Linked DNA regions of Drosophila melanogaster. The protein of the gene in region 3 interacts with the protein of the main gene of each other region in a pairwise test. Each region holds a gene or a part of one and is shown on either strand. Other genes may lie near its edges.

What was found.
Region 1: the proteins of CG30324 (region 3) and C15 interact in a two-hybrid assay, tested with the Drosophila melanogaster proteins (one large-scale study listed by BioGRID).
Region 2: the proteins of CG30324 (region 3) and lms interact in a two-hybrid assay, tested with the Drosophila melanogaster proteins (one large-scale study listed by BioGRID).
Region 4: the proteins of CG30324 (region 3) and H2.0 interact in a two-hybrid assay, tested with the Drosophila melanogaster proteins (one large-scale study listed by BioGRID).

Annotation. Positions count from the first base shown.
Region 1 is NT_033777.3:21,497,362-21,505,091, forward strand, and holds the start of C15 (C15), read left to right. Parts: upstream 1-2,624; 5' UTR 2,625-2,896; coding exon 2,897-3,069; intron 3,070-4,892; coding exon 4,893-5,308; intron 5,309-7,730.
Region 2 is NT_033778.4:20,553,410-20,561,791, forward strand, and holds lms (lateral muscles scarcer), read left to right. Parts: upstream 1-3,467; 5' UTR 3,468-3,548; coding exon 3,549-3,786; intron 3,787-4,677; coding exon 4,678-4,826; intron 4,827-4,982; coding exon 4,983-5,732; 3' UTR 5,733-6,544; downstream 6,545-8,382. Other genes in the region: Mgat1 (mannosyl (alpha-1,3-)-glycoprotein beta-1,2-N-acetylglucosaminyltransferase), read right to left, coding at 6,631-6,744, 6,798-6,885, 6,944-7,026, 7,084-7,174, 7,240-7,344, 7,405-7,835, 7,897-8,361.
Region 3 is NT_033778.4:16,287,086-16,293,306, reverse strand, and holds CG30324 (uncharacterized protein), read left to right. Parts: upstream 1-5,073; 5' UTR 5,074-5,166; coding exon 5,167-5,661; 3' UTR 5,662-5,721; downstream 5,722-6,221. Other genes in the region: CG7747 (uncharacterized protein), read left to right, coding at 1-318, 373-524, 583-997; CG30100 (uncharacterized protein), read right to left, coding at 1,052-1,492; CG42372 (uncharacterized protein), read right to left, coding at 1,495-1,533, 1,589-1,756; JhI-26 (juvenile hormone-inducible protein 26), read right to left, coding at 2,097-2,379, 2,556-3,355, 3,699-3,935; CG30099 (uncharacterized protein), read left to right, coding at 4,383-5,036; CG9068 (uncharacterized protein), read right to left, coding at 5,857-6,221.
Region 4 is NT_033779.5:6,012,207-6,023,162, reverse strand, and holds H2.0 (homeodomain protein 2.0), read left to right. Parts: upstream 1-3,760; 5' UTR 3,761-3,969; coding exon 3,970-4,486; intron 4,487-9,066; coding exon 9,067-9,563; intron 9,564-9,665; coding exon 9,666-9,908; 3' UTR 9,909-10,104; downstream 10,105-10,956. Other genes in the region: CG13996 (uncharacterized protein), read right to left, coding at 1,491-1,946, 1,999-2,313; CG9098 (uncharacterized protein), read left to right, coding at 10,927-10,956. UniProt on the Drosophila melanogaster protein: May play a role in pattern formation during embryonic and imaginal development. Is not essential for visceral muscle morphogenesis.

The DNA.
Region 1 (7,730 bases), on a different chromosome or scaffold from region 3:
AGATAACAATTAGATTCCAGAGGTTGGTTTTATCCTGTATCCTTACCCTATAAAGCTATGAGATTGGAGCTCCAAGGTTTTAGACCAAGCGGGTACGCCAAATCGGTGATCCTTTAGGTGGGTACTAAAAAAATATCCTACAACTAAATATAAGGATTTTCACAGAAAGTCGACAAGCAGTTAACTGATTTAAAGTTAATTGAATTTCACCAATAATCTGAAAGACACAACCTATTCTCCCAGTGATTGTGTAGATACACTTAGGCTAAGTTTGTTCTGGTTGTTGCTGTTTTGTCTGCCACCCGACTGCAGTGCGACGCTGCATACTAATTTTCCACAGCCCTGCCACCGCCCATCGCCCACCGTCATCTCGTTCTCATCTTGGAATCGGAACCACCACCACCAGCCTCTTAGCCATCTCCTCCTGCCCCTGCATGAATGCGATGTGGTGGTCTGAGCCTCATCATTTCGTATTCATACCAAGCACCAATTCCTCGTCGTTGCTGCCGCTGCAGTTATTGTTGTTGCCTGCTATTAAGTGAAATAAAAGTAAAAATGCAATAAAAATGTTGGCCGCCTCTCGTTTTGCATTAAAATTGCATTACAATTGCCGTGGATGGGGCGCTGTTGTTGCTATCTTTGTTGCTTTTATTACGGCAATTGTTTCTGCGTTGTTTCTGCCCAAATGAAATCCAATTAGCCGACTACAAGGCCTACCAACCAACGACTGCCAGCAGCAGCAGCAAAACAGCAACAATGACATTGCGAGGCGGTACGAAGAGAAATGGAGTTCGCCTCGTGACTTTTTCCAGAGTCCTTTCCACTGCCAAGTGGTGTGCGTGTGCTTTTGTGTGCCTTGCCAATTGAATATGCAGTAATTGCCTTTCTTCATTTTTGGCCATGATTTTTTGCTCGTGTCTGACACAGAAACATGGCCAGTTAAGTGCAGAAATGAATATTTATAGTCGTTACTTCTAGGATCGGACTCCGTTTAAATGCAAAGTGAACGGTTTGATTCTGCAGCCCACTCTCAAGAAAAATTGAATAATAATCAAATTATGAATAATGATATTATAAAGATAGGTAAAGATATGTAGATATAATTAACTAACATAATTTAACATTGAACAAAAAGCTGCATATGCAGCTTAAAACCAGTGATCAATATGTACATACATTGGCACTCTTTTAAATCACAGAATAGTATTTGTGAGGTACAATATAAGACCTTAAAGCAAATCATGTTTAAGAGTAACCAAACTGTGCAAGTAGAGATATAGTAACCCTTTATTATGAAATATAGATATAATTATCCTCTGACCAGTAGCGAATCTCCTAAGCGTAGTAATGCATTATCCAAGTTATCGCAAATAGGATTTGGGATTTTCATAACATTGCCTTATTCTGAAGGGGTTCACATTCCACATCTCGACTCAGCTATCTCAGCTAATGAAAACGGAGTACGCAATCGCTTCTGGCCACACACACGCATTCCATCCAGGCCGGCTAGAACAACACCTGAAACTGAGACTAAGACTAGGACCGAGATCCCGGCCAGCGATGAGCAGTAACATGGCTCGTGCCCAAGAAAAACTGTCAATTAACCCGTGGGGTGAACTTGTGGAAAATGCCAGAGCTGCTGCATCCACTGCATGCCGCGCAATTTGCATTCGCATGGCCGGGGCAAATGGATTGGATTCCTGTGGCTTCAGCTCGAGTCTGCTTATCGCAATCGCCGCCTGCCAAATGCCAGGCGATAGCGCGTAGAACTCTTGGCGCTAATAAAGATCTCAGTAGTAAGCGGTGTGAGGTGGTGAGGGGTGACATTAGGCGGTGGTGCAGGGCAGCCCTCCTGGCCAAATCCGCTGCTTTGTGAACTCAAGCTGACAGAACGCTATTTCCAATTGTGCTATTAATCTGCCACATTTGCACTTCCGCGGAAAAGAGTCGGCGGGCGGATGTGATCTCTTTCGCTCGTCAGTTGGCTGACTCGCTCTGCAGGGGTGATTTGCGGGCGAGCGAGTGAGACAGAGCGAGGCAGAGTGGTAACGCTTGGCTAACCTGAAAATAGAAACAATCGAAATAAAAATACATTCTCTTCATGCTCTCGTCTAATAAAAAACCCCAAAAGCAAAACGTTTTCCATTTAAAATGTCGTCGCAACTGCCAGCGGGAAGTGGACGTCGAGAGTGGCAAGTGTGTGGGGCAAACTCCGGCCAGCGGCCAATGGCGGTTGGCCGAGGCCACGCCCCGTGGCTCAATTACCGACCAGTGCTGCCCATCGGCGGGCAGAGCGAAACCTGTTTCCACGAGCGAGAGGCAGTCAGGCGCATGTGCGATCAGAGCGGGATGGATGGCTCAAGGGTGGACCAACCAGAAGAGGCAGGTTGCTGGTATTATGGTAGGTTAGGTTCAAACAAGGTGGCAAACTGGCTCTTAACCGAAATAGGAAGGAAGTCGGCAGCGGCGTCGACGTCGGGCAACTGGTTTGACTTGTTTCCGGCTCACTCCAACAGCCCAAACCCACCAGCAATCGGCAGAGGCAGCCAAGTCGGCAGAGGGCAGGCAGAGCAGCGGCCGTCGGCACAATTTGATTGCATTTATGAAAAGCGTTTTCGCCCGCTAGCACGCGTCCGCTCCCAGCTCGCAATTCGCCATCCGTAATCCGTAAACTTTAATCCGTAGACCGTAATCCGTGAATCCAAAGCAGTTCTCAGTTGGAATTTCCCGCAACGGGTAGTGCTTAAGCGCGGAAACTGAATTGAAATCAATCGGACGATTAGTGTGTGCTTCGCGGTTGAAACACTCTACATCTAACTATTAAGAGAAAAGAGTGCCCAATAAGATTCGAAAAGTGCAGTGAGCGAGCTCCAAATTGGCGCCACTAATTGCCAAAATGTCCAGCCACGAGGAGGATGACCATGAGCACGAGAACGAGCACGGCGAAGAGGTGGAGGAACAGGAGATCCACGTGGATGTGGACTCGGACTCGCGGATGTCATGTGGCAGCGGATCCGATGTGGATATGGACGGCGGCAGCTGCTACGACGAGTCCGAAACGCCATTGAGGTGAGAAGGAGAGCTTTTAAATAGAACCAGGAAGTAGGAAAAATGTCCCAAAAATATAGATATTATCAGTATAGATATACCATAAATAAGCAGATCTTCCAATTACAATAAGACTTCTACATATACATACATATATTATTTTTTTAACTAGATTGTGATAAAATGCTTTGGCTTCCGTACTACTTACTTAAAACTGAAGAGGCCTTTTTTTTTAAAATTCATTTTGGTAAATATTTTTCAAATATGAATAACGTCTGAATTTATGTACGTTGCAAAATCGAACAATAAAAAATATTTTTGGTTTAATTGTATCGTAAATAATCTGCTACACTAAACTTGAAAAGAGATTGCATCTCTATTAATAATAATAATGGCTTTACTTTCAAATTATACGATGTACAAACATAATAATTGGTCTGAAACAATTCATTACGGAAAATCCCCAAAAAAAATATATTAAAGAAAAAGCTCAGTTTTTCGTTTACTCTTGATGGTTATGATCATCATGCAAATTAATAAATATTTTTTTGTAAGTACTGGGCTTGATTTAGTTGGCCACATTATTCGTTAATTACTCATAAGTCAAAATTTAGATCGACAGCAATTTGATCGACTAACTGAGAGAAAAAGATCTATAAGCTATAGTTATAATAGTTGGCATACAGTCTTATTTTATTGCCCTATAAAAGTCAAACAAGTATTGTGGCGGAGAAAAGCTATTTGCATTTGTTATTACGAGCTCATAACTCCCACTGTTTTACGATCTTTAACATTGTCACTCATAATGCTCACAAATCCTATTTTTCGAATCGTGGCTCAACGCCATTGAAATGCGTTGATGTTTAAGCCCCATTGTCCGCTCTTACAAATGGTCCCATTTTCCAGCGACAAAAGGGGATAACAAGATGCCAGAGCATCCAGCAGACCGTGTTAACTGATCCCATTCAAGCGTTTGTGCGCTTAGAAGAACAGTGTGAACAAACCTCTTAAACGCTAATGAATTGACCACAAAGCCACCAAAAGAATCAAGTCGAAATGTCCCATAAAGTGCCAAAGAAACTCCCTGAATTTACATAGTTCACGGATGGCCAGGGTTTCCAATAGACGACGACGATAAAACGCACATTAGTAAGGCGCCAAAAACGGGCTGTGATAAGACATTGGGGTCCATTTGGGGCTCAATCTGGAGTTGGATCTTCGGCTTGAATGCCGGACAAAGACGAAATCGTTTGTCGGATTAACATTTTAATAGAGATCGTCATAAAAATGCCATAAAACCCGCGTTCCAGCGAATGTAGATCACCAGATAGCAGCAAGTTTTGGCCAGTGAAATAATATGTGTTTGCTCATAACTTTTGATATTGGAAAGTGTCTGTGTGTCGGTGGTTGGCGATTTGAGATCATTGTTCCGATACAATTCCATTCCTGTTCCAAATGGGTTTTTACTTTTTGGATTTATAAATTAAATGCCGTGCGTGACTTGTTTTCGGTGCGTCAGTTGATGGCATTTGATGATTTATGGGCGCGTATTAAATGCCTCTAACGGCCGTCAGCATTTGCATAATTACTTCATTTCCAGCCGCATTGCGTATACGCAGCGGTGGCCACACGGGTTCTGCATGTCATGTCGTCAACTCGGCTTATCCGCTCGCGTGGGCTTTTGGTTAGTGGTTCCGAGACTGGTACGCACTGCAACAGACTTAATTATAGTCAATGTTCTCAGGCTTTCCCGCTTATCGGGCGACACATTTTAATGAGCCCGCACCTCCAGAGGGCTTCTTTCCCTTCGATTCTGATGTCTTTTCTCCGGTTTTTATTCCCAGCGAGTCCCTGCAGTCGGAGCAGACGCGCTCCTCGTCCAGTGAGAATCTGCCCTTCAGCATATCACGCCTGCTATCCAAGCCCTTCGAGACGAGTCACCACCACCACAACAACAACAACCACCTGCTCAGCAGCAGTCCGGGCTCCAGCAGCAACAACAACAACAGCGGCGAAAAGGGCGAGGAGAAGGAGCTACTGCAGCAGGAGGACCACGACCTGGCCTATAAGCTGGCCACCAGCATCGCCAACTCGACATACGGAAGCGCCGCAGCACTATACTCGTATCCGCATCTCTATCCCTCAGCGGCCGGCGGTCATGTGCTACGTGTACCGCCCCAGAGAACGCCGCTCACCTGGGCACTACCGCCACTGCATCACGCGGCGCTGGCACATCAGGCGGTCAAGGATCGGTTGGCAGGTGAGTGAATAGCAGCGAAGTCAAGAGGGTTTGCCAAATCCAACCCATTCGGGGCCCCCATGTCGGGATGGCCCATGTTCGCCGAGATCTTTCGGGGGAGCGATCCTCCAATGACCCGCGGTGGCAATTGCTACTGTTCCCCAAATAAGCACGATCAGAGAAGACTTTTAAGGCAACATGCCTATCGGCATGTCATTGTTGGCCAACACATTCGTGCACCAAGAGAAAATGTGGCATTTGAAATAAAAGAATTGGTAACATTAAGAATAAAAATGTTATATATGTGCCTACATAACGCGTAGTTGGATGCATTCAATTGTGCAATAGGGTGTAGGAACATAATTTTAAACTTCTTGATAAAACATATTTTTGTATATTCATTGTTGAAAATAAGGTGCGAAGAACGTTGTCTAATGGTCTAAAAGGGCTTACTTACATATTTCCTTATAATATAATTACGATGGTCTATTAGATGGTATTTTCTGTGGGTAAGAAACAGCTTAAGGCTAGAACACAGGTCTCATAATACGAATTTTCGCTCAGTGTACACTCACTCTGGTGAGCTTGGGATGCTAAAGTATAAAAACATGTTTGCCTTCAAATGCGCAATCGCAGCTTAAGTTAAAAACTTAACGCTGAGCCGCCGCCCAGAAGCGACTCAGGAATGAGATGCGCCTTCTTATTTGCATGCGCATGCGCAGTTGAATTTGTATCTGTATCTGTCGCTGGTCCTCTGAATCCGTATCCGAATCTGTATCTGTATTCCATCTGAATCTGCAACTTCACGTGCAGCTGGGTCTTCTGGCTCCCTTTTTGTTAATTTGTTTACATTATGAGCTTCACTTGTAGCTACAAGCGATGGGCACAGCGCGAGCCCTTTGAAATAATGAGACGGCGTTGATTTTATTACGCCTCGGCAGCCGAGGGATCTTCAATGGTGTGGAAGGGGGATCCCGATAGGGTTCGGATCCTATAACTCATAATATTCGGGCCTTTTTCGGCCTTGTGATGTGGAAAAGCTGCTTAGGAGCAGCGCAGCCCGGCAATCTGACGGGCTTTTATGGCCGACATCCGCCCAGTGGTTCTGGTTAGCTGTTTGGCCTTTTTCTTCATTTTAGTTATTTTAATGAGCTGGTTTACATGACTTTTTAATTTCGCGCTGCGCTCGAAAAGGAATTAATTACGCATTGGGCGGTCGCTGGGCTCAGCGAGTGAGTTTTCTGTCCTCGCCGGCTTATTTATCGCCGCATACCGCACTTCACATTTGAGTCCAACTGACATGGTCAGCTTTTAATTAGCCAGTCGAATGCTGGCGATCCGAGGGCTGCATATCCATATCCATACTTGTGTGTATATCCGCCGAGGAGGGGCATTCGATCGAGTGGATCGTATAGAATGGAATGGGATCGGATCAGTCACTTCGAGTCGACTATTCCACCTGAGGGGCACACTTATGAGCCCGCCGGGTGATCCAAGCTTCTGCCGCTCGGTTTCGTTTTGTCAACATCTTCGTTTTCGTCTTGGTCTTGGTCTCGGCCAACGTCTGTGTCTTTTTGTGTTTATTGTGTCGCTTGCCTTGTGGCTGATAAGCTGGCGCCTTGGCTTTTTTCATTAACAAGACAAACGAGCGTCCAGGGTGCGGATCCGATCCGATCCGATCCGATCCCTTCCCGCGACCAAAGTGCTCCTCTCTCTTCCGCCGGGGCCCTTAGCGCCATATGATTAATAACCATCGCATGTTAATTCTCGTTATTTTTTGGGAAACTACGTCGCAGCAGGCGCCAATTACTTTTCGGCCATGCACGCCCTAATGCAGTTTCATAACAGCCATAATAGCCTGATTGGAAGGGAGTTGGGCTTTTGTCACGACACTTGCCCACACGAATGTTACCAATCAATGGCGGAGTAGGATCTATAGGCTAGTGTATAGAAATTCCCTTTACTAGGGAGCTCCTTTAGTAATTTAGTATTTAATATTAAAAAATGATGTAAACTCCGTGAGACTGTATACTAATTTGCCATTTAACAGTTCCCATTTGCATGCGCTTTGATTGGTTACGTGCTAGTCTTGAGGTAACTAGTATATAACTAATCCAAATCACTAGCAAAGGTCAGAGTGCAGCACTTTTGAAAAGAGACCAAAATAGCGGAGTGGGAGGAAACCAGTCCCAGCCACAGGCCGTCATCAATAATGCATGCTAAAAGCTTTTTGCATTATTTTAGGTATTTCTGGTGAGACTTCTCGGCCGCAGCCACACACTCACCGCCATCTGTATCTTAAAGATACTTGTGTTAGCTTGTGCGAAACATCATAAATAAGCTCGGTGGAGCACGGTGGAGTGCCGGAAAGCTATAAAATTATGCTTATGCGCCTTAACCTCCCTCTAAGCGGATATGTTACATCCTTGAAGGATACACACAT
Region 2 (8,382 bases), 4.3 Mb from region 3:
TTAGGCCCATAAATCTGTCCGACACAATTATCAGTTTCAATTTGTGCGTGAAACTGTTTGATATCACAGGCCAGACTGCCGATGTCAATTAGTAGAGTCACTAGTGGATCTGCACCCCTTTTCCACTGGGTTGGGGATGTGGGGGCAATTTTCCGCCACTCGAGGAGGGAATCTTCTCGCCAGCCCATTTGGCTCGTTAAAATGCCGCCGCAATTGTTGAAGATCGAGGAGAATCCCATCGATGCGTTGAGGTGGCAACACAGCGCACTCCGCACACTCGAGATACAAATAAAGGCAAAAGATACAGATGCATCCAGTCTCCAGATCTGTCACTCAGTCCTGAGTAATTACACCAAATTAATTGCGCGTAGTTGTCAGGGCTCGCATTGTCTGCTAATTTTTCCAATTGCACAGCTTTTCCTTTAATTGCCTCCATCAGTAGCCCATGAATTCGAATTGATTCACCATTTGATCCGAGAAATAAAAACCAAAAAAAAAATATACAAATAAAAAACAGGCAGGGAAATCCGAGAAGAGCCAACGGAATCTGTTTGATTGTGTCGTAAAAAAAGCGAAACACTCCTATATGATTTAAACTGCATGTTTTGTAAAAATCTAATTTGATAATTGGTTGTAATTTATGAGTCTTGTCTGCTCGCCTGCAACATAAACACCACACGGAATGACGGAATGACGCCTTTTACTCCTCGAGCTCCTCCCCAAGCATGTTTCCCAGAAAAGTGCACCAAGAATTGGAAACTGGGAGCCCACTTCCCATCCACGGACTCCGAATTCGAAACGAGCGCACATTAAATTAATAATATGCAGTTCATTCTCTCCCGTTTTTTTTTTTTTTTTCTTAATTATTATTTATATCTGTCAGTTTATAAGGCGTAGGCTGGTTTTTTGGTTTGCCGGAGGCAGTTTTATGAATGAAATTAACAGCATAAGATGGGTGGAGATCCCAAAATTCATCACCGATATTTATGGCGGTCTTTTGGCAGGATAATGCAATCTGCATTTAATTTCCGCATTAACGAATACGTTCAAAAATATAGAAAAATTTAAGTAGTTTTCATTTAATAATACAAGCTGCTTAACAGGCAATATGTATAAAAAATTATACATATTTATACCACCTGATTGAATGCCTTCTTAATACTTTCTCTCTGCGGTCTGTTCTACATAGTTTCTAAGTACCTAATCATGGTATCATATTTCCATAACCAGCTCTAATAGGTCTTCACACAAATTAGCCTCGAGGCAAACAAATAGACAGCCCAACGAATCAATCAGGATACAGTTTCCCAAGGAGTTCAATGCTCGCCCGCAAAAGGAGTTCCAACATCACCTTCGGCGTAATCGGAAACCACACGAATATCCGAGAGTCAATGGCGTGGGAGTGTCACCGATGCCCGTTCCAGATACAGATTCAGATACAGATACAGATGTTAGTCCGGAGCAGCCCAATGATCGATGTGGCAGCGAGGCAGCAGTTAGATGTAGCTAACACCCTGCAGGACTTGATGCATCATTAGCTGGATGCGATGACAAAAAGAGGGCACAAAAAACATTGAAATTCTGGCCGGAGGACGGACTGTTCCACGCGACTGCCAGTGCAACTCCGGACGTGATTTATGCTGCGTGCGCCTGACAAACACTCGAGAAGTGATGATTTATAATGAAGATGCATGCTCGGTTATTAATTAAATTCTGACGCGACTGCGCTCCATTTAGTCTTAAATGCGAGAACCAAACAAACTGATCTTTAGTTAGCCTAAGGTTATGGTTGTCGTCTTACGCAATAAGGGCCAAAAGATCCTTAATTGATTCGAAATTCCAGAGGCAAATTCCAGTGCAAAGTGGTAAGAGGTATGCAAAATATGTTATGCTGAGAATCTTATAATAATACTTAAACATATCTGCAAGTTCATTTCCTTCCTCAGATTTCTCTGATCCAGTTAGGAAACTTAATATATTGACTTAGCCAAAACAAGATAGAATAGAATACTTATGTTCAGATGTTCGGCTTGAATGTGATTCCATAGATACCCATGGATAGATAGGTTATAAAGTAGCCAACAAATTGGTAAATACTCAAAAATGACGAAGTCGAAACAAAGTCTGCATTCTGTTTGGCAGTGGAATTTGAAATATGGCAAGCAATAGTCGAATATTCATTAAGCGCAATTATGAAAATTAAGTTGTCATTTTGATTTGAGTGCCCGCGACACTCGGGCATGCGGCCTCATAAGCAGATCTAGATCCCCCCCGCATCCGCAACCGAATCCGAATCCCCGCCAGAATTCTCATTAAATTAAATCAAACTGACAGCCCGGCCGGCTAAATGGATGCCCTGCGATTCGTCCCCTTTCCCCTTTTTGCTCCGCCATCTCGGCGACTAATTAACGTGTTTTCAGATATTTTGTTCAAATCGCGCCTGAATAATGAAGACGTTATCATGGGGCATCCGCGCATCCAGGAATGGGCACCCTGTAGCCCAGTAGATGTTGTGGATTTGGCTGCTGGCCAATTGGAAACTAGTGTCAGCCAGGCCGCCGGCTAATTTCTCAGATCCTCCCCTCCATTCGGATCCTGAGTGCCCCTTTTCCATTTTCCATTCTGTCTGAATTATGTGTTCATAATTTCGAATTAATGAAATTTTTACAGGGGGCTTGGGATTGGGATTCAAAGAAATAGAAAGTTATAATATGAAATATCTGTAAGGAAGGTGTTCTAAAAACTCAACAATTAAGTTATGATTCAAAAAATGTTGTGCTTCAAAATTACTGTTTCTCAGATTTAAATTGAATATATTATACACATTAAAAATGTTTCTCAAGCTAGTAGAACCCAATTATGCATTGCGTTACAATCACTTAGACTAATGGCCTTGTATTACTTTGTTAAGAGATTTAAAAAATTCCAAAAAATCGACAAAGAAACCATTTGTACATTTGAATACAATTTTTTGAATGCTGCATTGTTTAAAGAATTCTGAATTAACCCAAAAGAGGACACGTGCCTGCACACCAAAGCACTGAAAACAAATCCAGTCAAAGAAATTGCTCGCCGTTCATTAATCAAATGGATGAAATATGTTGGCAAACGTATTAAATATATTTAGCAAAGCCATCGAAATATTAAATAGCGCTACTTGTAGACAATTAGCCAAAAATTATGACTTTTAATCACGGGCAAGGCGACAAAAACAATTTCGAAAACCCAGAAGACGGCGTTGAACGCGAGCCACGCCCCTCATCCCAAACATTTCACACATGTTTTAAAAATAACCGAACTTGTGTGCTGTCTTCAGTGAAAATCGAATAGTATGTTTCTGTTCCTTTCTGTCGTTCTATTTGCGCATATGGTGTGAGCGGTGCGGAGATATATGATTTTAGGCTCCGCCCCGCCAGGCGATCATCTTGAAAAATCGGCCAGTGAGCAGGATGCTCCGCATATTCAAATTAGTTTTCCGTAAGATCTCCACGCGCGCTGTTGTCTCCGGAATATCTTCAAAATATATATCGCTCGCAATCGGCGGAAACATGAATTCGCAATCGGCAGTGCGTCGCTATCCACACAGTTTTTCCATCGAACAAATTCTGGCCAAGCCGGAAATGCGCAGCTCCACTTCCTTTGAGGACTCCGTGCAGGATGAAAGCGGTCGCGGTGGCAATTGTCTCGGTGCTTCACGGGCTTCCAGTCCGGCAACATCGAGTTGCTTGGATGACAACATGGACGACGGCAAAAGTGATATCGATTTGGCCTCAGATGATGGAAACGGTGCGTATGATCGATATGCCGGAATATAAGCTTTACAACGACGAGAATTTTGGTGTCTGGAATTGGATTTGGGATCTAAAAACTTAACTTAAAGCTCAATTGGATCCTTATTAAATAGCAAATATACAAAATATAGATTTATACTGAACTTCATCAGGATAAATAGCACCAACAGCCAAATAGTCAGTGCTTTAGTGCTTTTAAGTGTAGTATTATCAAGGTTCAAGGAATTATCAAGGATCTTTCAAATAATACAGTTACAATATACAAATTTTAAATTCTGAAAAAAAATGTCTCTAAAAGATGATTTACCTCCTAATGGAATCACCCATAACGAGCTCAGCACAGCCGTTCATTATTGTATGTAAATATGCAATGAGTTTCCCACCTGAACGAATGAGTGAGTGCCTATGGCTGAATGATCTCATCTGTCATCCGTGCGATCAAGAAACAAATGATCAGAAATTAGCTTCTGGGTGACAGGGAATAAGCCATCCATTCCATATCCACATTTTCGTCGACACCAACGCAGTCGACTAATGATGCAAATGTCACAAGCGAACAAAGATCGCTGGCGATCTCAAAGGAGATATTCTTCCACCCGTTAAGAAGGAATTTATATGGCTATTTGTTTTCGGTCGGCCAAGAGAATGTATGCCAAAATGGCCAATTAGACGCCTTGGCTAAGTGAAATGCAACAGTGTGATTTGCAATTTGCCAGGGGTTTTGCGGTGCGACGGGGCATTTTACATACACATACAACTGTGCCAACAACGGATCGACAAATTACCATTAGGCGAAAATAGTTGGCACCGCGCGCCGGATTGCCCGCTGTCGGTAGCAATAAATGTCTAATTGGGATTTCGATTTCCCACTTTGATTCCATTGCAGGCCTTGGTGATGACCGCAAAAAGCGACCGCGTACCGCCTTCTCGGCAGCTCAAATCAAAGCACTGGAAACGGAGTTCGAAAGGGGAAAGTATCTTTCGGTGGCGAAGCGAACTGCACTGGCCAAGCAGCTGCAGCTCACAGAAACGCAGGTTAGTTGTGGAATCTATCAAAAAATTTAATTACTACCCAAAAAAGTTTGCCATTCTATCTAAAAGCGATTAATAACATGAAATGAAATCCCTTGTATCTATGAGATACAATTGGCATTCCTCGTAAATAATTCATTCATTCATTTCACTTTTCAGATCAAGATCTGGTTCCAAAACCGCCGCACCAAGTGGAAGCGCAAGTACACCTCGGACGTGGAAACGCTGGCCTCGCACTATTACGCCCAGCTGGGTATCGGGGGATTGGCCAGGCCGATGGTGGTTGGTGATCGCCTTTGGCTCTTTAGCCAAACGCCAACGGGTCCCACGCCCATTCAGTCCATTATGCTAAATGGCAGTGGCTCCGCTGCACCCATGGCCTCAGCAACGACGGCCACCGGCTCACCCATGCGTCCGTACGCGACTAGCGGCGGAATGCCACCGTTGCCGGGTCCCAGTGTGATGGAGAGTGCCCGTAATGCCATACTGGCACGTGGACAACCCTTGAACTTCGCCCTGCCCTTTGGCGTGGCTAAGCCGCCGGCGGGTGGTGTGCCTGCGGCCAGCTACATCCCTCGCTGCAAGCCGTATGCGACCAGCTATGTGGACTACGCGGCGTCACTGCCAACGAACGAGAGCTATCTGCAAATGAAGTACGCGACGCTGCCGCCGGAAGCGGAAAGCGGCGCCTCCAATGGCCTCGCCGAACTGGAACGCGTCTTTGGGGATGCCAATGCCAACTTTCTGCAACAACGCAGCACGCCAGTCGCTGGAACAGCCACAGCCTACGGCCACGATGGATTAAATCAGGCGCAGCGGAGCCGCAGACCCACACAATCGGAGTCCGAGTGCAGCGACATTGACTGCGAGCATCTGGACGAGGATGAGGAGCCACCTGCTGCGGAGTGAAAAGGCGATTGGTTGTCTTTAGAATTTATGTTCCGTACGTCTCTCATACACACAAAAATATGCTCATACAAAGTGTAGTCATAGGGGGTAGTAGAGTAGGTGTCCTGTCTGGGTTGATTCCATTACAACTAGCTGAGAGTGGCACACTTTCAGATCTGGCCGGGATTACTGGCGTACCCCTGGTGGCTCAGCACTGGTCTAGTTTACGTTGTGGTTCTAGTACTAGTACTAGCGCTAGTTATTGCTATTCTATGTTACATTGTGTGGGTCGGGTACTGTTTACTGACTGGCTCTCAACAATTAATAAATGTAAATTAAATAATCAAAAATCACAAATATTACACGTCCGTTGCCGTTAGAACTCTAGTTGGATCAACTTAAATGCTACAAATTACACGCTGCATACTATAACTTAACCATTGCTATAACTATTTGCAATTTAACACGATAAATTGAGAGAGATAGACAGATAGAGAGAGCTGTAACAAAAGCGAACGACACTGACTTATTTACAATTCATTGCGTTGCTTGTGTGGCTGGTGTGCTAGAATGGAACACTTTTGGCTCTTGCCACACACAGTTCGGTTCGGTTGACTACTATACATAGTGGAGACTCATTTGATTTGATTTTGTTACGCCAACAGTAGGTCCGTAGGCTAGGGATCTGGAGCAGACGAATTGCGTTTTCTATCAGAAATCAGGGCTAGTACTCCAAGTACTCCTGCCTACGCGATGGCTGCGAACAGCGTCTACTGTTCGAGGAGATTCCATAGTTACAACTTAGCTAATTGGTCAAATAAAAATTAAAACTCATAGGGCTATTTTTGGTATTGCAAGCACGCGGAGCTAGCTGCGTGGTAATGGAAGTGGAGCTGGCGGTACTCTGTCCTTAGCGTCGTTAGCTCCAAGAGAGCTCGTAGCCCTTCCAGTTGGCGTTGGGTGCCAGATGCACGCGCCGTTTGTTGTAGTAGAAGGAGACGATGCCATGGTAGGCAGTCCGCGGAACACCGCTCTACAAAGATTAAGAATAATCATAGTTTCAAGCACATAGATTGATTGATCTACCTTGAAATCATCCATAAGACCCAGCATCTTAGTTGTCCGCTTGTACTGCTCCCTAGTAGTGTATTGAATGCGAACTGGACCTTCGATTCTGCAACACCATAATTGGAATTATGTAGATACTTTCTATATATCATATATCAACTCACCTAATCAGGTTTCGCCGCAGCTCATCGTACGTAACAATGGGATACGTATAAACGCGCCGCAGAAACGTGTTATCGTAATTGTCCTGAACATGAAATAGTTGTTAGTGTAATGAGGCAACAATGCACGGGTGTGTACCTACCTTCAGCAGGTAGCTCATATTGATTTTTGTAAACTGCACAAAGTCCTCGCTCAGTTTAATGTGCTTCAGATACTTATCGAAGAACAAACCGCTGTTAAACAACAAATTATCATTATTAGCTGGCACGTTGCATTGTTAGCTAGCTATATCTCTTACTTGGAAACGCCTATTTTTCCAAACGTGCGAGTGCGTGATATTTCGGGCCTAATGCACACGCGATCTTTGCGCTGGGCGGGATGACGTATCCAATCATCCCAGAAGCTAGAACAGTTAATGAACCATTAGCGATTGGCTGGCAAACACCATAATTGCCCCACTCACGATTTGGGCCATTTGACCGACAGCTCGGCCCACAGATCTTTGGTGAGCATCCAGCCGAGACCGGGAAAGAAATCGGTGCGGTAGAGCAGCTCCGGCTGCGCGGCGTCCACAACAGCAGCCTTGCCATTGTCATTCCACGCGGACACGCACCACAGGCTGGGGTCCTGCTTGAGCAGCTTGTGCGTGCCCAGGAAGTACTCAAAGAAGTCGGGCGCCACGTTCAGATCGTCCTCGACGATTATGACGAACTCAAAGCCCACAGCGAAGGTGGTGTTCAGGGCCCAGCCGTAGTGTCGGGCTATCTTGTAGTAGCCTTTGAATTTTTTCTCCTTCGGCAGCACTGTGATGTCGCTGAGATCAGGCTGCTCGATGAGCGTGACCTGTTTGCCATACGAGAGGATTGCCTCCTTGGTGGGCTCATCGCCGCAGTCCTGTATTAGAGCATAAGTATAAGTATAAGATTTAGATTGGGTAGCCCATTTCGATCCCTACCTGTGACACAATAATGGGGAACTGCTCCACGCTGGGCCTGTACTGAACCAAGTTATCGATGCACTTCTTCACCGACACCCGATTGCAGGCGAAGACTACGACTGGAAACACGGGCTCGCCATTGGCCAGATATGTTTTCGTTGGAATGCGCGCCGTTGCCGACTTGGCCACATGCTGCTCCGGCAGCTCCGCCGATATTTCGGCGGCAATTATGCTAATTTGCGGCGTGGATGCCACCGACGGTGGTTGCTTCTCCAAGTACTTCAGCTTGACGAACTCAAACACGTTCTTGGCCAGATGATGGCTTTGCATATTGGCATCGCGAGCCTGCGAGTTGAGCTTGTAGGCCTGAAGCGACTGATGCCGGCTCGTATGGATGCCCGTTTGGCGCAACAGCAGGTAGTAGGTGGCATAGGTCCACGTAACCAGAAAGCCAATTACCAATAGCACCTTGCGCGTTCGCATCTTTTTGGGGGGAAATTGGTG
Region 3 (6,221 bases):
GAGGAGGCCTCCACTTCGAAGCGTACAGCTGACAAGTTCAACGCAGCTCACTATTCAACTGGAGCGGTGGCGGCCAGTTTTACGTCTACCGCCATGGTGCCCGTTTCCCAAATAGAGGCGGCTATCATAGATGATGATTTGGTCAAGTACGAGCGGGTAAAAAAGAAGGGCTACGTTCGTTTAAATACGAACCTTGGCCCTCTCAACCTGGAGCTCTTCTGCGATCAAACTCCTCGAGCCTGCGATAACTTCATCAAGCATTGCGCCAATGGTTACTACAATAATGTTATGTTTCACCGGTCCATAAGGAATTTTATTGTAAGTACGATCTCTTTTGAGAGAAACTTTAATTTACTATGGTTTTATCCACAGGTGCAAGGTGGTGATCCCACTGGAAGTGGTTCTGGTGGCGAGTCCATTTGGGGCAAGAAGTTTGAGGACGAGTTTAAGCCGAATCTTACGCACACGGGCCGAGGAGTGCTATCAATGGCCAATTCGGGACCCAACACCAATGGCTCTCAGTTGTAAGTACCACAAAGTGACATTTTTTCAATGCTTTTGCAAGTATACGCTGTTTCGTAGCTTTATCACCTATCGCTCTTGCAAACATCTCGACGGCAAACACACCATCTTTGGAAAGCTTGTCGGAGGATTAGACACTCTTCAAAAGATGGAAAATATCGAGGTGGATAACAAGGACAGACCAATTGAGGACATCATCATTGAGTCCTCACAGGTCTTTGTGAATCCATTTGCCGAGGCAGCCGAACAGTTGGCCAAGGAGCGCGAGGAGGAGGCGGCCGGCAAGGAGGAGATTGTCAAGAAGGAGGAGCAGCAAAAGCGCATGAAGGAGCCACTGAAGGTGTACAGAGAGGGCGTAGGCAAGTACCTGAAACTTCAGACAGTGGCCAAAAAGCCAGAGGCGCCACTTACATCCGCTCAAGCAGCCAAGAAGAAGAAACTGGCGAATGGTTTTGGAGATTTCTCCAGTTGGTAACCCATTGTTTTCCAAAAATAAATATTTAAAAGACCGTTTTAGAAGTAAAAGTTATCACTCTTTATCGGTAGATTTGGTTCCCCCATCTGTGCGCTCTCTATCCTGCCAGCTTTTCTTCATTTCTTGCAGCTTTTCCTGTCGCCGCCGCCGCTCAGTGGACTTTCTCTGCTCTTGTGCCTTGACTTGCGCGGCAATTGAATGCTCTCCGTTTAGATGCACGTCCAGTTTTTCCAGTAGAAGTTTACGAGCCTCCACTCGATTCTTTGATGCTAGACGATGTGTGTGACACTTGACCGTTATATTGGTGGGTAGATGGCGCAAGAACACGCAGTTGGATGTCTTGTTGACAGCCTGGCCACCAGGACCACTGCCGCGCATGAAGGTCTCCTCGATATCCGACTCCTGAAGCACGGGAAAGCGGGAGTAGTCCAGATTGGACTTGCAGCGCACAGCGGTCGGAGGCAGCGCCAGGAATCGCACCAGACCTCGCAGCATTCCTACAGAATGCGTCCCTTCTTTAGCAGGGTCTCTCCGCGCTGAAATATAAGTTCATTTTGTAAATCAGTTATGAAATACGAAAGTGGCACTTACCTTAAAGCTGAATTCCACTTCCACGGGATTCGTAAGGGAACGGTTGTCCCGAAACTCGTGGCGAACTCTTCCCAGAAAGTAGTTCTTGTCGGTCAGCTTTAGGTGATTGCCGTAACGAATTAAATGCTTGTATAAACGCAAAATTTGCTGCCGCGAAGGTTGAACCATTTTCATATTTCACTCTCACATGTGTGACAGTGCTGGTTAACGCAGAACTACAACAGGTTGGCAGTTCAGCAAAAACACAATCAGCTGCGGCGTTGTGCGATCAAAACAAAAGCAACAGTTATAAAAATAAACATTTGAAAAAAACGCAATGATAAGATTATAAATCTTAAGTAGCCCACAATTTACGATTCCCCCACCACTGTTAAAAATTCCTAGTCACGGTTAAACAGTGTATTAAACTCTAAATAGGTAATGCATGTCACTTTAACATCTATTTTATTATCTACAGTTACGCTATACCTGAAATGCCTGAATACTTTTACATTAGGCTATCAATTGATTACTCCTTGGGCAACTTGTCAAGATCAATGCCGTCATCAATGGACACCCCTGTCGCCTGGCTCAGCTCCAGCATTTCCTTAACCTGGTGAGCAACCTCCCTGTCCACAACTTCTCCACCTCGATTCATGGTCCGTTCGATGATTTCCTCGTCAGACAGTTGCAAGGCGAACATCTCCTCGGGCGAGATGTCCAAGGGATCCACCAAACTCATGAGGAAACTGGCCGATATGGATAAGCTGTACGGCAGGAAACGCACGTACTCCTTCAGAAGCTCACCGCGACTAAGAAATAGCGTAATTAGTATTATATTATTTCTTGGCAGTAAAAAGCTTTACAGGATTATCTTATCTTATCACATCGAGCACCTAATGAGTATTTTTAGATTTTTGATTTGCATTCATATCGCTTGTTTGAAATTTTAAAAGCTTATGAATAATGAATAATAATAACAACTCACCTTAGGAAATCCGGAACCTCCTCCTTGGCGTGCTCCCTATAGCTATTATGAAGCGCCAAGGTGTATTCACAGAAGATGGCCTCGAAGTTTGGATCGCGTACCTCGGCAAAAATGGACACGGCTAGAAAGACGTTGAGATCGACCATGGGAGAGGAGACTCGCAATGTCTGGTAGTCGAACATCATGATCTCCTGCGGCTCCTCCTTGTCATCGTACCTGTACGCCACATTATTCCTCACATAATCGCCGTGGCACAGGGTGGCCAGTGGCTCCCTGGGCGCCACCCGTTGCCTACCGTATTGCGAATAGTCCGAGATCATGAAACAGAACTTCTTAACAAACTCCTCGTCGATCTGTGGCTGATAGGTGGCCACCGCCTTGGCCGCTCGATCGATGCTCGTTTTCATGGTGAGCTTCCATTCCGGATGAATGTTATCGTTGGCATAGCGAGATTCCTTCAGATTGTCAGTCAGCTGGGCAAACTTTTCCGGGTTCTTGTGCTTCATGGCGTACGCAAAGCCATGGAACCTTCCCAGGTAACTCACGGCAATCATGGCGTGCTGCAGACTCAGACCCACACGATCCTTGGTGACCCGCCATCCCTGCTCCGCGAAATTCTCCAGAATGGCCACAGCCGAATGCTGGTTCAACTCGCCGTAATAGTACTTGGGTGCGGCAAACTTGCCATCGGTGAACTTCTGAAACTCTGGCAGAATTTCCGTATAGAAATTTATCTCGTTGGTAAAAAGGGGCCCAAACTGTATGGATTCATACATTTCTGGTGGCATAGCAGGTGTTTTCTACAAAAAAAAAAAAAAACAATTAATTATTGGTATTCTGGGGTCATTGCATGCCAAAGTAAACTTCATCATTAGATGTGATTTATTTTGAATTCAAAATCAATTCGCTTTGTTCTTTTGTTGAGATGCCTCCCTCTATTTCACAATGTTTGCCATAAAACCCACACTCTCACTAAGCTATCTGAGTTTGCTGGAAAACAAAACTGGTAAGTAGTACGCAGTTAAGGCACTTATATAATATAATTTAAATTCCGCGAGTATAGTAAATCTTTTCGTTGTGTTTTTAGATATCCAGATAGATTGTTTAAGATTTATTTATACTATGTGAATGGAATAAACCTACCTTAACCACCATTTTTCGCTGAAACTTTTGCCCGTCGTATTCAAAATTAATGGTTGTCCGGTAGCAAAAAGTTAGCATAAAGGCCTCCGAGTGGCCAATTACATCAATGTCGATGTCCCCCACATGGAATGTGGTCACCTTGGACTCGCTGTAGTTGTCCACCAGGCGCCCGTTCCTCAGAATTGACGGAAGAACCGTGTATCTCAGCCATTGCCTCTCAGCCTCGATCTTCTCCATTTCGTCGGTACTGACGATCCCAACCGCTTCGCTTGTGGATAGCGAATGAGCATAAACCATTTCATATAGCTCATTTTGTACTACTCTCCAAAAGCTCATTCGTTGTTAGAGATTACACGATAAGAGCGAATTGGAAATGAAAAGCTTTCTAATCATTAAAAGCACTTTATGGTTTATAGAGAAGCAGTACCTACCTAATGATTAGCATGATGCAATTTGGCATGTTAAAATGATATGATAAGATATCATGACGCAAAGATAGGGGGATACGCTATTTATTAGTTTTAATTAGTTTTTTTTTTTTGTTTATTGTGTGCAAAGTTTAATGATTCCTTTGGATTAAGTTCTATTTTCCATAATCACAGGTATCGATATATTTTTAGTCAAAATTTCCAGTTTTAGAAAAAGCTATCCTACCGTTGCAGTTCGACTATCGACCAACTACCAATGGGCCTCAACTGGTATTTACTCAAAACGACCGGGTCAATGACCAGGGCCAACACCTACGTTCGAAAGTTCACGAATGGATCGCAGCAAAGTCGAGATATCAGCATGCCATCCAAAGTGCCAAAGAGGACAAGTGCTTCGATCAGGATCACGGATTTGGATAACATGTCATATATGTCCTCTTCTTCGCGAAAAGGCAAAATAACGAGCGGCCGACACGATCAGTTGAAAATGTCGAAGAATGCTCAACACGACGATGTCGTCTGTCCAATGCAAGCGAGTAGGAAGCCCATCGAGGAGCCCACTGTTCGGGATTCGCCACAAATGCGCGAGTTCTTCGAGGAAGTGCGTCAGCGAAAGCTCAAGGATTACTATCTTCAGATGAAGGCTGCACAAAGAAATCCAGCGATGTCCCATGTGTGTCCGGATTGTGGTTTTGTGAAGCGGGATAAGAAGGATCTCAGCAAAAACATTTACTGCACGGGGGATAAACGATTGAGGATAAAAGATTGTGATCGGCATGGGGATCTCACCTGGCTGTGGAACTCCTCCGCTGCATATCCTCACTCTGCACTTAGTTGTGGATGCAGCAGAGGTGTCTCCAGCCACTTGGAAACTTTAATCAAGCTGCACAATATAAAATGTTTAATTTAAAATTTGTAATTTTTGATATCTAGTTGCCAAGGAGTTTGCTGATAATACATCTGTTTTTCTCCGATATTTAGTTTCATTCTGCAATCCAAATCGTTCGTACCTTTCCGATTTGAACCCCACTCTTTCCACAATGTTTTCCGATCCCGCCCAGGAGTCGGTTGCCACGCAGACGGAGGCACAACCGGTTCCGTCGCCCATCTGCACCCCACTGCTGATGGTGGACGAGGATGGACGAAAGCGGTACTGCTACCATGGTGGAAAATGCAAGTGTGCCACTTGCGCACAAATTCGTGCAGAGCAGGCAGTGAAACTCGACCAGGAGCTGCTGTCCTACATACCGCACTCGAAGCTCCACCTGGAAGTTCCAATCCGAATGGCCAAGCCGAAGCAGTATCGCCTGGAAGCTCGACGGGCTACTCCCGAACTGGCAAAATTTCTGCGGGAGGATCACGAGAGGCTGAGGGCGGAGTATCCATCGTACTATCTCCCGGATCGATACTTTGGTAAGAAATTCTACGAGTTGCCAGGACCGCAGCACAAGGAGACCCAGACGGACATTCCGATTGGGCGTTACGGCATCGATGGTTGTCCCTGTACCAATAAATCGCTCTGCTATGACTTGTAATCCTGGGCAGGACTCAATTGGGGAAAAAAGAGTTTAATAAAAGTTCGGAATGTGAGAAGTATTTGCATGTTTTTCAATAAATCACTATAGTTAATTTCCCCGACTATCACATACCCATTACTCAGCTAGTAGGTGTGCAAATTAAATTTAATGTAAATAAATTGATTATCACTTATGATAATAGTTATGATACTCCTATTTCTTGGGTAATTTGGAATAGAAATCCTCCAGGAAATCCTTTAATATCAACTTGAACTTTTCGCCGTGCTTGGCCAATAGCAACTTGGCCTCACTGTCCTCATTGTCCAGCATCTCATCCGCTTCCTCCAGCACCTGAAGGTAATGCAGCCAAGCCGTTTCCAATCCCATAACCTGCTCAAATGTTTCCTCGCTAAGCTTCACCTGGTATTTGTGCAGCAGAACGAAGAGTTCCAGCATCGGAGTAAATGCGGACTGCTTCACTGGCACATCCTTCAGGAGTTTTTCAAAGAGCTGTTTGGCAGCCACCGTTTCACGGATGGTACGAGGAACCTTCATCACATTACGCTCGTTGCGTCGCA
Region 4 (10,956 bases), on a different chromosome or scaffold from region 3:
CTCATCCCCGATCCGCGAAAGGTATTGCTGGCTTAATCCAGGTCCGGTTCTATGGCGCTGTGTTCATACCAAGGCAATTGGTGGGATGAAATTTGGTCTTCCACCATTAAGTTCTTTGACTTAAAAATACTTTTACATTATACATTATTATAATATATTATTGAAAAAATGCCTTTCCGATATTTAAAGGCATAATAAATTAACATAATCTTACTTGGTGACCATAGAAATGTACCTCTGCCCTTTAATCCAGAGTGGTGTTACTTTTGACCAGTTAGTGGAAGAACCCACTTTCGAATCCGTCCCTGATCTCTGACTAATATGTAGCGCGTAGGTCTGCGAGGCGATCGAGACCGTAGGTAACACGAGATGTGGTGGAGACTTACAAACGAGGTACGCGTCGGATAACGCTTGCTGACGATGATCGCTGGGTCCTCGAATCGGGTATTCGTCGGGCATGGCTCTCATGGGTAGGGGTAGAGGTATGGGCATGGGTATATGGGTATCAGTTTGGTGTGGGTTATGTGGCTGTTGTTATTGGTGGCCTACTGTGGAGCCTGGAGACAGCAACACATTCATAATTTCTTCCGATTCGTATCGTTTAAACATTTTAAATTGATTAAAATGCGATAAATCATAATCGCCAACGTTGGCCCGAACGCAGACACTCTGGAACTTGGTAACTTGGGAACTCGGGGAACTAGGGAACTGGATGAGTGGGGGACTTGGGGACCTCCTCGGGACCATGTCCGGGTGATGGAACGATTTATGCGCCTCGAACATAATAAAGTGTTAACGGAACGAGTTATTAAGGTAGTCTCAATCCTATGGCCTAAGTTAATAAAGGCCAAAGGCAATTTGCATGGCCAGTGTGTGACGGCGTGGCAGCGTCTTAGGTTGCATCTAGGCGTACATAGCTCTGAGCAGGGGACTCAATCTCGGTCTATGCTATGCTCACCCACCGATCGACGGACACACAAGATGTCGGGAAATATAACATAAGCCGACCACACGTACGTCTCCCATGCCGCACAGCTGGACGCCGTGCCCAGATCTCAAAACTCAGAGCGAAGCTCAGTTCGCTGGATTGCGGAGGAAAAGCTGGAACGCCGTGTCTTGTGAGCAGAACAATCAATAAATTTGAACACGTGAGCGGACGCGAATGCGGACGGCTCTCGACGGTAACAACACTGATCCTATAGTCCCCAGTTCCCAGTCCCCCACTACCCCTCCACAAAACAACAGCAAAAGCAACAATTCAGAGCGATAAGTGATCAATGCGCCGTGTCGACTGATTGGGCAGCATCGGTGATCCAATGAGGTGGGGCAGTCGTAGGATTTGACTTGGAGAGCCACCAATTTGTGCTTATCGTCGATGGCGCAGAGAAAGTGATTTAAGCTGACCGTTCCTTCAATTAAAATTTAATTGTCCACTAAAGAAGTTACTTTATTGCTCCAAAAGCTAACCACGATTTCAAGTTGAAAGTGAATCAGTAGCAATCCTCGAAGTTGTACCACGGTGTGGCATCCACATCGTCCGTAATGATGGGTTCCCGGCGCGCTGTCGATGGGCCATAGAGGTTGTAGCGTCTGGAGCCAGCGACGATCTCGCGATACCGCCTCACCGGCGCCCTGGACATGTGCAGCTCCATCAGATCCCAGTCGTTGACGTCGCGGAAAACGGAGCGAATCATGTGCATGCGGCCCAGTAGCTCCGTCTCCCGCAATCCCTCGTACCTTCGGCCAGTGCGGGCCCGGAATGTCTTATAGACCTCACTCTGCTGCTTGGTCTCCGTCGCCGTTTGCAGCTCCTTCCTGTAAAGCGCTCGTATGCCGCGGCCCAGGTGGCGGATGTGCTCGAAGTTGCGAACGTTGAGCGCAACCAGAGCAACTGCGTCCAGATTCAGCAGCTTGTGTCCATCAATGTAGTTCTCCCGAAAAGTTTGCTGTAACGAAGCTATAGGTTACCCAACATAGTGAGTAAGAATCTTAGCCCACCTCGTACTCGGGATAACCAAAGTTGCGCAGCCAGTCGGTCACATCGTTGATGCTCCACTTGAAGACCTCAGTGCGGGCTTGGGAATCCACGACGGCGGCGCAGAGATTGAAGAGCGAGTCCGGCGAGGCCTTGAAGGGTAGCGGCACATCCTCCTTGTCGTACTCCACGTCCGGAAACATGTAGCTGGGATAGCGAAAGCAGAACTCCTGCTCATCCTGCGGCGGCTCACAGATATCCGGACTGTCCATGCCACTGGCACTGTGCGGCAGTGGTGACGGTATGGTGGAGCACCTGGACGCTGAGAACGACTCCATTCGAGTGGTGGCAGCGCACTGTTCCTGGGCCAAAGTGAATTGAGTTGCCCCGCAACGATTTGGTTGCGGTTTCCAGCGATTCCTCAAGAATAAGTGGCGTTCGTGTCTGTTTACATAGTTTGATTGCGTTTCGCTTTCATTTGTTGTATGCCCTATAATTTTCCGGGAAAAGTTGTTGGCTACAATCACTAAGGCTCAATTTGCACTTTAAATGGGTTAATGGAATTTAAGCCATGCTCTTTCCAATCAGTATCTTTGAACGTTCGGCATATCCTGGAATGTATCTGAATCTTTTTTTTTAAGTAAAAAGGATTATTTTATTATTAATCGGACTTCACTTTGAAGAGGATAAAAGTGTCACCGACTGGCGATGGATTTTCCGCTGCCATTGCATTTGCATATTCCACATTTTCTGGGTCACTTTGTGGGCTTGTGGTGCTAGGGTGTTTTTGGCACCAAATCCGCCCGCTTGGATGGGAGTTTTGTGCCGGAAAGTATGCTATCTTAAGGTAGTCACGACAATTTTCCTATTAATAACGCCAGTTTCGCTCCGCAATTTACACATTTCTACTTAAGTTTTCCAACCCCGACGATCCGTTCGTGTTCCGTTTTGCGGATTTCCGCTTGTGGAATGCGGTTTCTGATTTATGACCACCAGTCCCGGTTACCCACTTCATTGAACCCAGACAGCGTGGAGCAGGTGGAGTTCGCGCAGATCGCTCAATCCCAAGCCAATGGAAGGCACATTCCTTGGGCGCGAAAGCGAGATGCCGCATCAGCGCCACCAGTGGCTCCGCCCACCACTGCGGATCGATCGCATTGGCCAGAAATCACGAACCACGAGCCACTCGACATGGCCTCTGCGCAGGGAAACCGGAATTCGGATGGGGTGTGTGTGTCTGTGTGTGGGAGTACGGGAACATATGGAGAAATCGGTAAACAAATCTCGGCTGCGCTCGAGGAAACGATCTCCGACTGAGCTAATGACACAGCGGCATGCTTGTGTGTAAACAAGCGATCGGCATGGCAAGGTATCCCATCTGTGTGTGGCTACAGTGGGATCAGGTCTATGGTAAGTGGATTAACATAATTTTAGGGCACTTTCTAGAGGTATATAGATCTTCAGCGGAATAGAAACCAATGTTACCACCAACCGAAGCCCAAAAATCTAATCTTTCTTGATAGTATTACTCTTCTTGAGTATTACTTTATAAACAATATACACGTTGGATAAAAAAATATCCTGGTTTGTATATCCTGTATATCGAACATATAGCCATTATTTATTGTTAGCATTATATCCTGATCATCTCGCACTCCTTGCCCCACTGTCAGCACCAGGAATACACAATCTCAGCGAGATTAACCCCACCGCCAACAGACTGTTCCGCGTTGGCTGGCCGATCGGCAATCGATGGCTGGTTGAGCGTGCTCCCTGGCCGGTTCCGATCAGTTCTGAGTGGGATGTCTTGCAAGGCGGTTTAATCGGAGGTGCACGAGACCTAAGCCAAAATTCGCGATCGTTTTATTGGTGCACAGCGACGGTGTTTTGGACATGATAGATAGTCCCTATCGATTGTGAACGTGTGAAATCAGTTTTGAGTGTCCTGTGTCGAGATTCGTAGATAGAAACCATATACAACACATATCCGGACAATGTTACTACACGAGAGTGCCGCCAGCATGGAACAGAGTATGCCCGAGAACCTCAGCACTCACATGTACGGCGAGTGTGAAGTGAATCCAACGCTGGCAAAGTGTCCCGATCCAGTGAATGTCGATCATGAGCTGCCCACCAAAGAATCCTGTGCCTCGACTACCATAGTCAGTACGTCGCCAACCAGCGCCACGAGCACCACCAAAGTCAAGCTGAGCTTCAGTGTGGATCGTCTGTTGGGCTCGGAACCCGAGGAATCCCACCGGCAGAGCTCCTCCTCGCCCTCGACCAAGTCATGCTGCGATGGCAGCATTCTAGCCTGCTGCTCCTTCCCCCACTGCTTCAGCCAGGCGAATGCCGAATCCCGTAGGTTTGGACATGCCACGCTTCCGCCCACTTTCACACCCACTTCATCGCACACGTACCCCTTCGTGGGTCTGGATAAGCTGTTCCCTGGCCCCTATATGGATTACAAATCAGTGCTCAGACCGACGCCAATTCGGGCAGCAGAACACGGTAAGGATGCACTATACTCAAAAGGGAACATCCTTTGAATCCGAGCAGGTTTTACAAAAAAAATGTCCATTTGAAAGTAAATCATTCAAAATTACCATTAAGTGCACGGCATTTGGAACATCATGAGCAAACCGAGTTGATAGAAGGAAAACATTTAATCTCTGTAAGGGATGCCTTAAATTAATATGAACTATATTGGTACTGATCCGTATTACATGGATTATAGGTACCTAAGTGTATTTTTAAGATACTTTTAAACTTAAAAGGAATCAGCTCCATACAGAAAGCTATTGAAACATCATTCGTTCGCAGTGAACCTCTTCTAGTTCCAACAACGTACCACTTATCAAAATAATATTTTATACCCATGACTCTATCTTGTAGATACGATCTATCATCTGCACTATTTCAATCTCCCCGTATGTTGTGTGCACTTGCAGCGCCAATAAAACTGATCAAAGCTAATCAGATATTGCGATTTGTCAATCATTCTGCATTCTTTCCATGGAAATATGCAGGATCTCAGGGAACGATCAAACGAGTTGATGAGGTGGCTTCGCCATTTGCCCATCAAAATTCCTTAGCTATTTCGCTCTGTTTTTCAATTATGGACTATAATTATTAGCCATGTTGAGATTTGCAGAGAAAATCGTGAAATGGAATTTAGCCAAATGGGAAATGAACATTCCTGGAAACACAAAGAGTGAGAACCTAAGGCGCAGCCCCAATAAATTTCACGTTTTTATTTGAATTATTAGTTGATCTGCAGCCATATTGTGCAATATTCCTGCGGCCAAATGTTCCGCGCCTTTGGCTCTTGACGAAAACAATTCGATTTTTGAAATCGACAACAAAATAGTCCGGATTGTTTTGGGTATTTGCCGTACTTCCTGCTGTTTTTGTATATCTGGGGACGAAGACTTCTTATAAAGCCTGCAGGCTGCCAGCGCACTTTGATCTTGTTTATGTGAAAATGGAAATGGAAATGGAAATAGTGAGAGCAACATAATCGGTAAATGTTTCGCTTTTCGAATAGAAATTGTTCATTGTTTAACAAGCTGCTTGAGTTTTATACATATCGTCAGCACAGCCTTTTCCCATTCAATATTGTACACAATTCTTATCAAGTGGGTGCTAACAATGCGAGGGCCTTAAACGATCTTAAAGATCTTTTGCGGATAAATGAGATACATATTTGGTTTGGGATTCCTCAATGGATAAATTGATTAGGAAATGTCTGAGATATTAATTTATTTCAAAATAAGAGACCCGCAAATATGTGGAGCTATACTAAAATGATGTGTAAATGGTATTAGCGAGCTTAACTTAAAGCTTACTATAGTTTAGACCTAGTTACAAGTAGCAAAATACAATTTTTTAACAGCCGACTAAAACATATTCAAAAAAGACTTTGGTTGATTCATCCAACGTAAATTCGATACTAATAGCCCTTTAAATTCCGCCAAATTCCAGCACACGATTAAATTATGTAGCAAAATTAGCGCCAAACTTAAATAAATTACACTTCACACAATGATGGAACATTAATGAAAATTATCATCAGTGCTAAGTGGTTTTCAAACACATTTGCTCAGCCAAAAATGGGAGGAGCAATTAGTAAGGCGAATAAATTCGACATAGCTCAATCAACAAAAGATCGGTAAAAAAAAAACGAAGAACAGACAGCACCTGAAAGGCTTCATCAATCCTTTGGGCACCGCAAATAGATGAGATGCCAAAGACCAAAGTGGAAAATTAAGAACAATTTATGAACAAATTACGAGTCAGTCTTTAAAAATAAACTTCAAGCTCACACGGATCGTGGAAAACGTTTGTGGCGAACAGTTTGTTTATTTGCTTGGGCAATTGGCCCGTCATTCATGGGCAGATACAGATAGCTATCCATCTAATTGCCCGCTCTCTAATGAATTGTTCCGCCGGCCGAGGAGTTCGACAGGTGGAGGCATCTTTGGCCCGGCTAGAGACGCGGATCTCTGATAGATTGGGCGCCACGGTTCCAACTACTGCGGCTCAACCGACTCCAATGAGGCTCGGCTGCCGTTTAGGCCAACGACAGGGAACTGCTGACCGATGGATGACTGTACCGGGTATGGGTACGGGCACGGGCACGGGTGAAACTATGCGCTGTTCTTTGGGGGCCGAGCCAAAAGGCCAAGTATTTACACAACCACCCACTGTGGTGGCCTTTTCAGGAGGAGGCTACCCTGTGGCTGCCCGCCGTGTCCAACCTGCCGGCCCCTGCGGAATTATTCCGTGATGGATTGATTGCATCGCATCGCACATCATAAAATCATGGACCAGCGAGATCTCTGCGGCTCCTCCGTCGACTATTTGTTGCTGTTTGCCTGTCCCGCCTGGCGATGAGTAGTTTGTTGATCTGTTGTTGTTGCTCTTCTGGCTGCCGATCAATCGATCCATCCATCGATCGATTGGATGCTACAGACCATTGTCTGATATGGAAATTCTGTCTGAACAATAATCCGGCGCCGTGGGTCTAATTAATTAGCAATTTATATGTTAATCCAACTGATAGATGCACTTTCAAAGCGTTCGAAGATCCCTGATTAATGATGGCCCTCAGACGATTTCTTTTGGAACTTTGAAGACTCTTTCTCAAGTTCCCAACAGCAGGGGAGGGTTGTAGCAATAATAATTACCACGCACTCAACTCAAATTAACGGGACTGATATATGTATGTAGATACCACAACTATAGGATTAACTATAATGAATTGAGTGAAAATTGACGACAATCCCAAGTAGCTAAAGATATTTCACGAAATATACAATTGAAATATTAGCTATACTTTTGATTTCACTTAAATATTTTGAAAGTACATAATGCAGATAATATATCTTAGTGCATAGTTAGCTGGTAAAAGTCAGAGATTCGGATGTTCGGAAGTAGATACATATGTATAATATATTAAAATCAATCAAATAAACACATACTCCGCTTGTCGAGCTGGTAGTCGAAATTTCCATAGCACATGGCCCACTGGGAGTGCTCTGCTTAACCCCAAAAGATCATTCGCAATTTACCGCGAAATAAGCCACAATATTCGCCAAGTCGTAAATGTGGAATGCATCGTGCTAATAAATCGATGCAACTTAAATATGGCTGCGAAATGTACGATTCGCAAACACATCCTACTGGAGATGCATCTGCAACCCAGACCCTTGAGTGATTTAAGATGGCATCCGAAAAATTATCACAACTCATTAAGATATTTACGGGTCCGCTGGCGGTATTTTGTAAATGTATCTGAACGGGAAAGTCGGCAATTAATGATCTCGCGCTGTGAGTGAACCCCAATGCCCCGGCCAACATCCAAGGTGTTGAAAGTCGGTGAAAACTCATTATAACAAACCCCCGATGGTTGACACAAGCCAAATGCCAAAACGGCCAATTAAGGCGTTATTAGCCCCTGCAGATGTGCTGAGATTCCATTGGCGTTCCCGATGCAGATACACAAGCGCACGGATTGAGATACAATTGTATCCACAAGTGCAGAAGCGCATTTCCGCTGCAGTGTAAATACACACAATCGATCGAGTAGTGTGTTGCTTAAGTAAATAAAACGCTCGATCTCGAAAACAATTAGGCGCATGCCGCGAGCACACAAACAAATCGAATTCCACATAGCACAACGTTAAAAAGGCAATAAAAAATACCTATGATAATTTAGCGTTGGCTACAAACAAAGAGGAATGGTTTGCAGTTTGAAATCAAATAAAATTCAATGAAAAAGTCAAGGATAGGAATTAAAATTGTGGCCTTTTAACAACATCAGGATTACATTTCATATCAACATTAGTGAACATTATCGTGAACTGAGGATTCAAAGGAACTTTTTGTAGCATACTTTTCAGCGGAGTCCTTTGAGTTGATAAATGCCGTAATGATCTTGATTGAAACTCAGTAGTTAGATAAAGGATAGTAAATGCCAATAATGATTGGAAATACAATAGGAAAGTCAACGTCATTCGAATTGTTTCTTACTGCGTGTATAAATTCTTGGATATTTAAAAAACATTTAAGGGAAGTAAAGCACCCTGGTTCGACCTCAACCTCGTGTGCCCCATGTCGTGTTCGATTACCCCAAATAATTTTGGATCTCTAGAGGTAATTGTTGTTGTTTAGATTCGCGCTAGAAGTAAACAAATTTCGTTTGCCCCCCCTAGCCACAAAACGCTTCAATGATAATTTCCAATTAAGTGAAAATTTTATTATAAACAAGCCCATTTAAAAATTCTCAACATGCATTTTATTGATCAAAATAATTTACTCAGAAAACACAAAAAATTGAATTTCATATTTTCTTTGGCGAAACAAGTATCATTTCTTTGGCCGGCGATAAATGTATTATTTCCTGCGGATGCAATGTGCTACCAAGGGAGGATGTTGTCCATAACTAATGGTAGTTTTCCTATAAAAATAAATATCCAAATTGGTGCGTAAAAAACGCACCGGATTCAGTATAGCAACAAATTAAGAGTTATTGCTAATGAAGGAAGTATGAATCTCCCAATTGACTTTAACATTCCATTCCCGAACAGCCGCACCCACTTATCCCACGCTGGCTACCAATGCGCTCCTCCGCTTCCATCAACATCAGAAGCAGCAGCACCAGCAGCATCATCATCATCAGCACCATCCCAAACACCTCCATCAGCAGCACAAGCCCCCGCCACACAACTCGACGACAGCCTCGGCGCTACTGGCGCCGCTCCACAGCCTCACGAGCCTCCAGCTGACGCAACAGCAGCAGCGATTTCTGGGCAAGACGCCGCAGCAGCTCCTGGACATAGCGCCCACCTCGCCCGCCGCCGCCGCCGCTGCCACATCCCAGAACGGTGCACATGGACATGGAGGTGGCAATGGCCAGGGCAACGCCTCAGCCGGAAGCAATGGGAAGCGCAAGCGATCCTGGTCTCGCGCCGTCTTCTCGAATCTGCAGCGCAAGGGCCTGGAGATTCAGTTCCAGCAGCAGAAGTACATCACCAAGCCAGATCGCCGCAAGCTGGCGGCACGACTGAATCTCACCGACGCTCAGGTTAGTTAAAAGATGGGATTTTCATAGTTTAACATTTGCACATTCGACTCCTTTCATAGCTCTATAAAAACCAATATATTATTATTTTTATACCCTGATTAGGTCAAGGTGTGGTTCCAGAACCGTCGCATGAAGTGGCGGCACACGCGCGAGAATCTGAAGAGTGGCCAGGAGAAGCAGCCGAGTGCAGTACCCGAATCCGGAGGTGTCTTCAAGACATCCACGCCATCCGGTGATGGTACGCCCCAGGAGGCACTCGACTACAGTTCCGATAGCTGCTCCAGTGTGGATTTGAGCGAGCAGGCCGACGAAGATGATAATATTGAAATCAATGTGGTGGAGTAGAGCCGCCTATGTAGATAGCTCCGTTTACACGTGTAAAATGCCATGTAGATGTATTTATTCCTTCATTGCTAGTTGTAATGTAATGTAAAGTAGACAGATACTGCACAAAGTGAACTTAAATTATTTCAATCTGTAAGATAATCTAAACGTTTATGTGTAAACTATTTAAAATAAATTCTCTAGTAAAATGAACTTGTGAATTCACAGCTTGGTTTATTATTAATTTATTATTCACTATTCCATAGAATGAAGCTATAAAAATACGCAATGCTACGCGGCAAGAACAGAAATTTTAATTAAGCAAATACCGCTGCGATCAGCAGAATATGAAACTCGGCGACAACGGGGAGACCTTCTCTAATCAAGTGAACGATAAAAGACGATACGCGACTGAATGGCCAGAGCAAATACGACTGGAGTGAGTTGGTCAAGCGCGGGGGTGCGAATGGGTTTATCCAATACGATCGGATCGGTTGGTGGATCGCGACAGGGGAGTGAGAGGAGGGGGCACTGCGGATATAGAGCACTAATTAGAAAAACAGTGAGGGTAAATTGTTGGTGCACGACATTGAAATCTTACTCACTTGGGCTTTATTGTCATTGTCGGTCTCTTTGGCTGAGTTCGTTCATTTTTTCAATTACTTTAAGACTCCGCTGAAATTATAGAAAACTATAAAAAAATAACAACGATTTATAGCTGAATTTAAAGAACATTACTAAATAGAGAATAGAATAGAAACAATAAATATATATTACTCATACTTTAGCTGCAATCTTACGTTCATATATGATTTATAATTATATGCGTAATTCCTTTAGGGTATTTAACAGTCGGTGAATGACATATGCAATTTCAGCTCAGTTGAAGAAGTCTGTTTGGGCAACATTTGCTCACGTTCAGTTGTTTTTCCCAAAGCGAAGTGCGCGGTTGAGTTTCAGCTTAGGTGTTTGGTACTGCTCCAGAATTTAAAGATCTTTCAGATCTGCACATTGGATTTGCAAAGATAGCCTGGGCAACATGGGCAACACCCAAGCCCGACAACTGGAG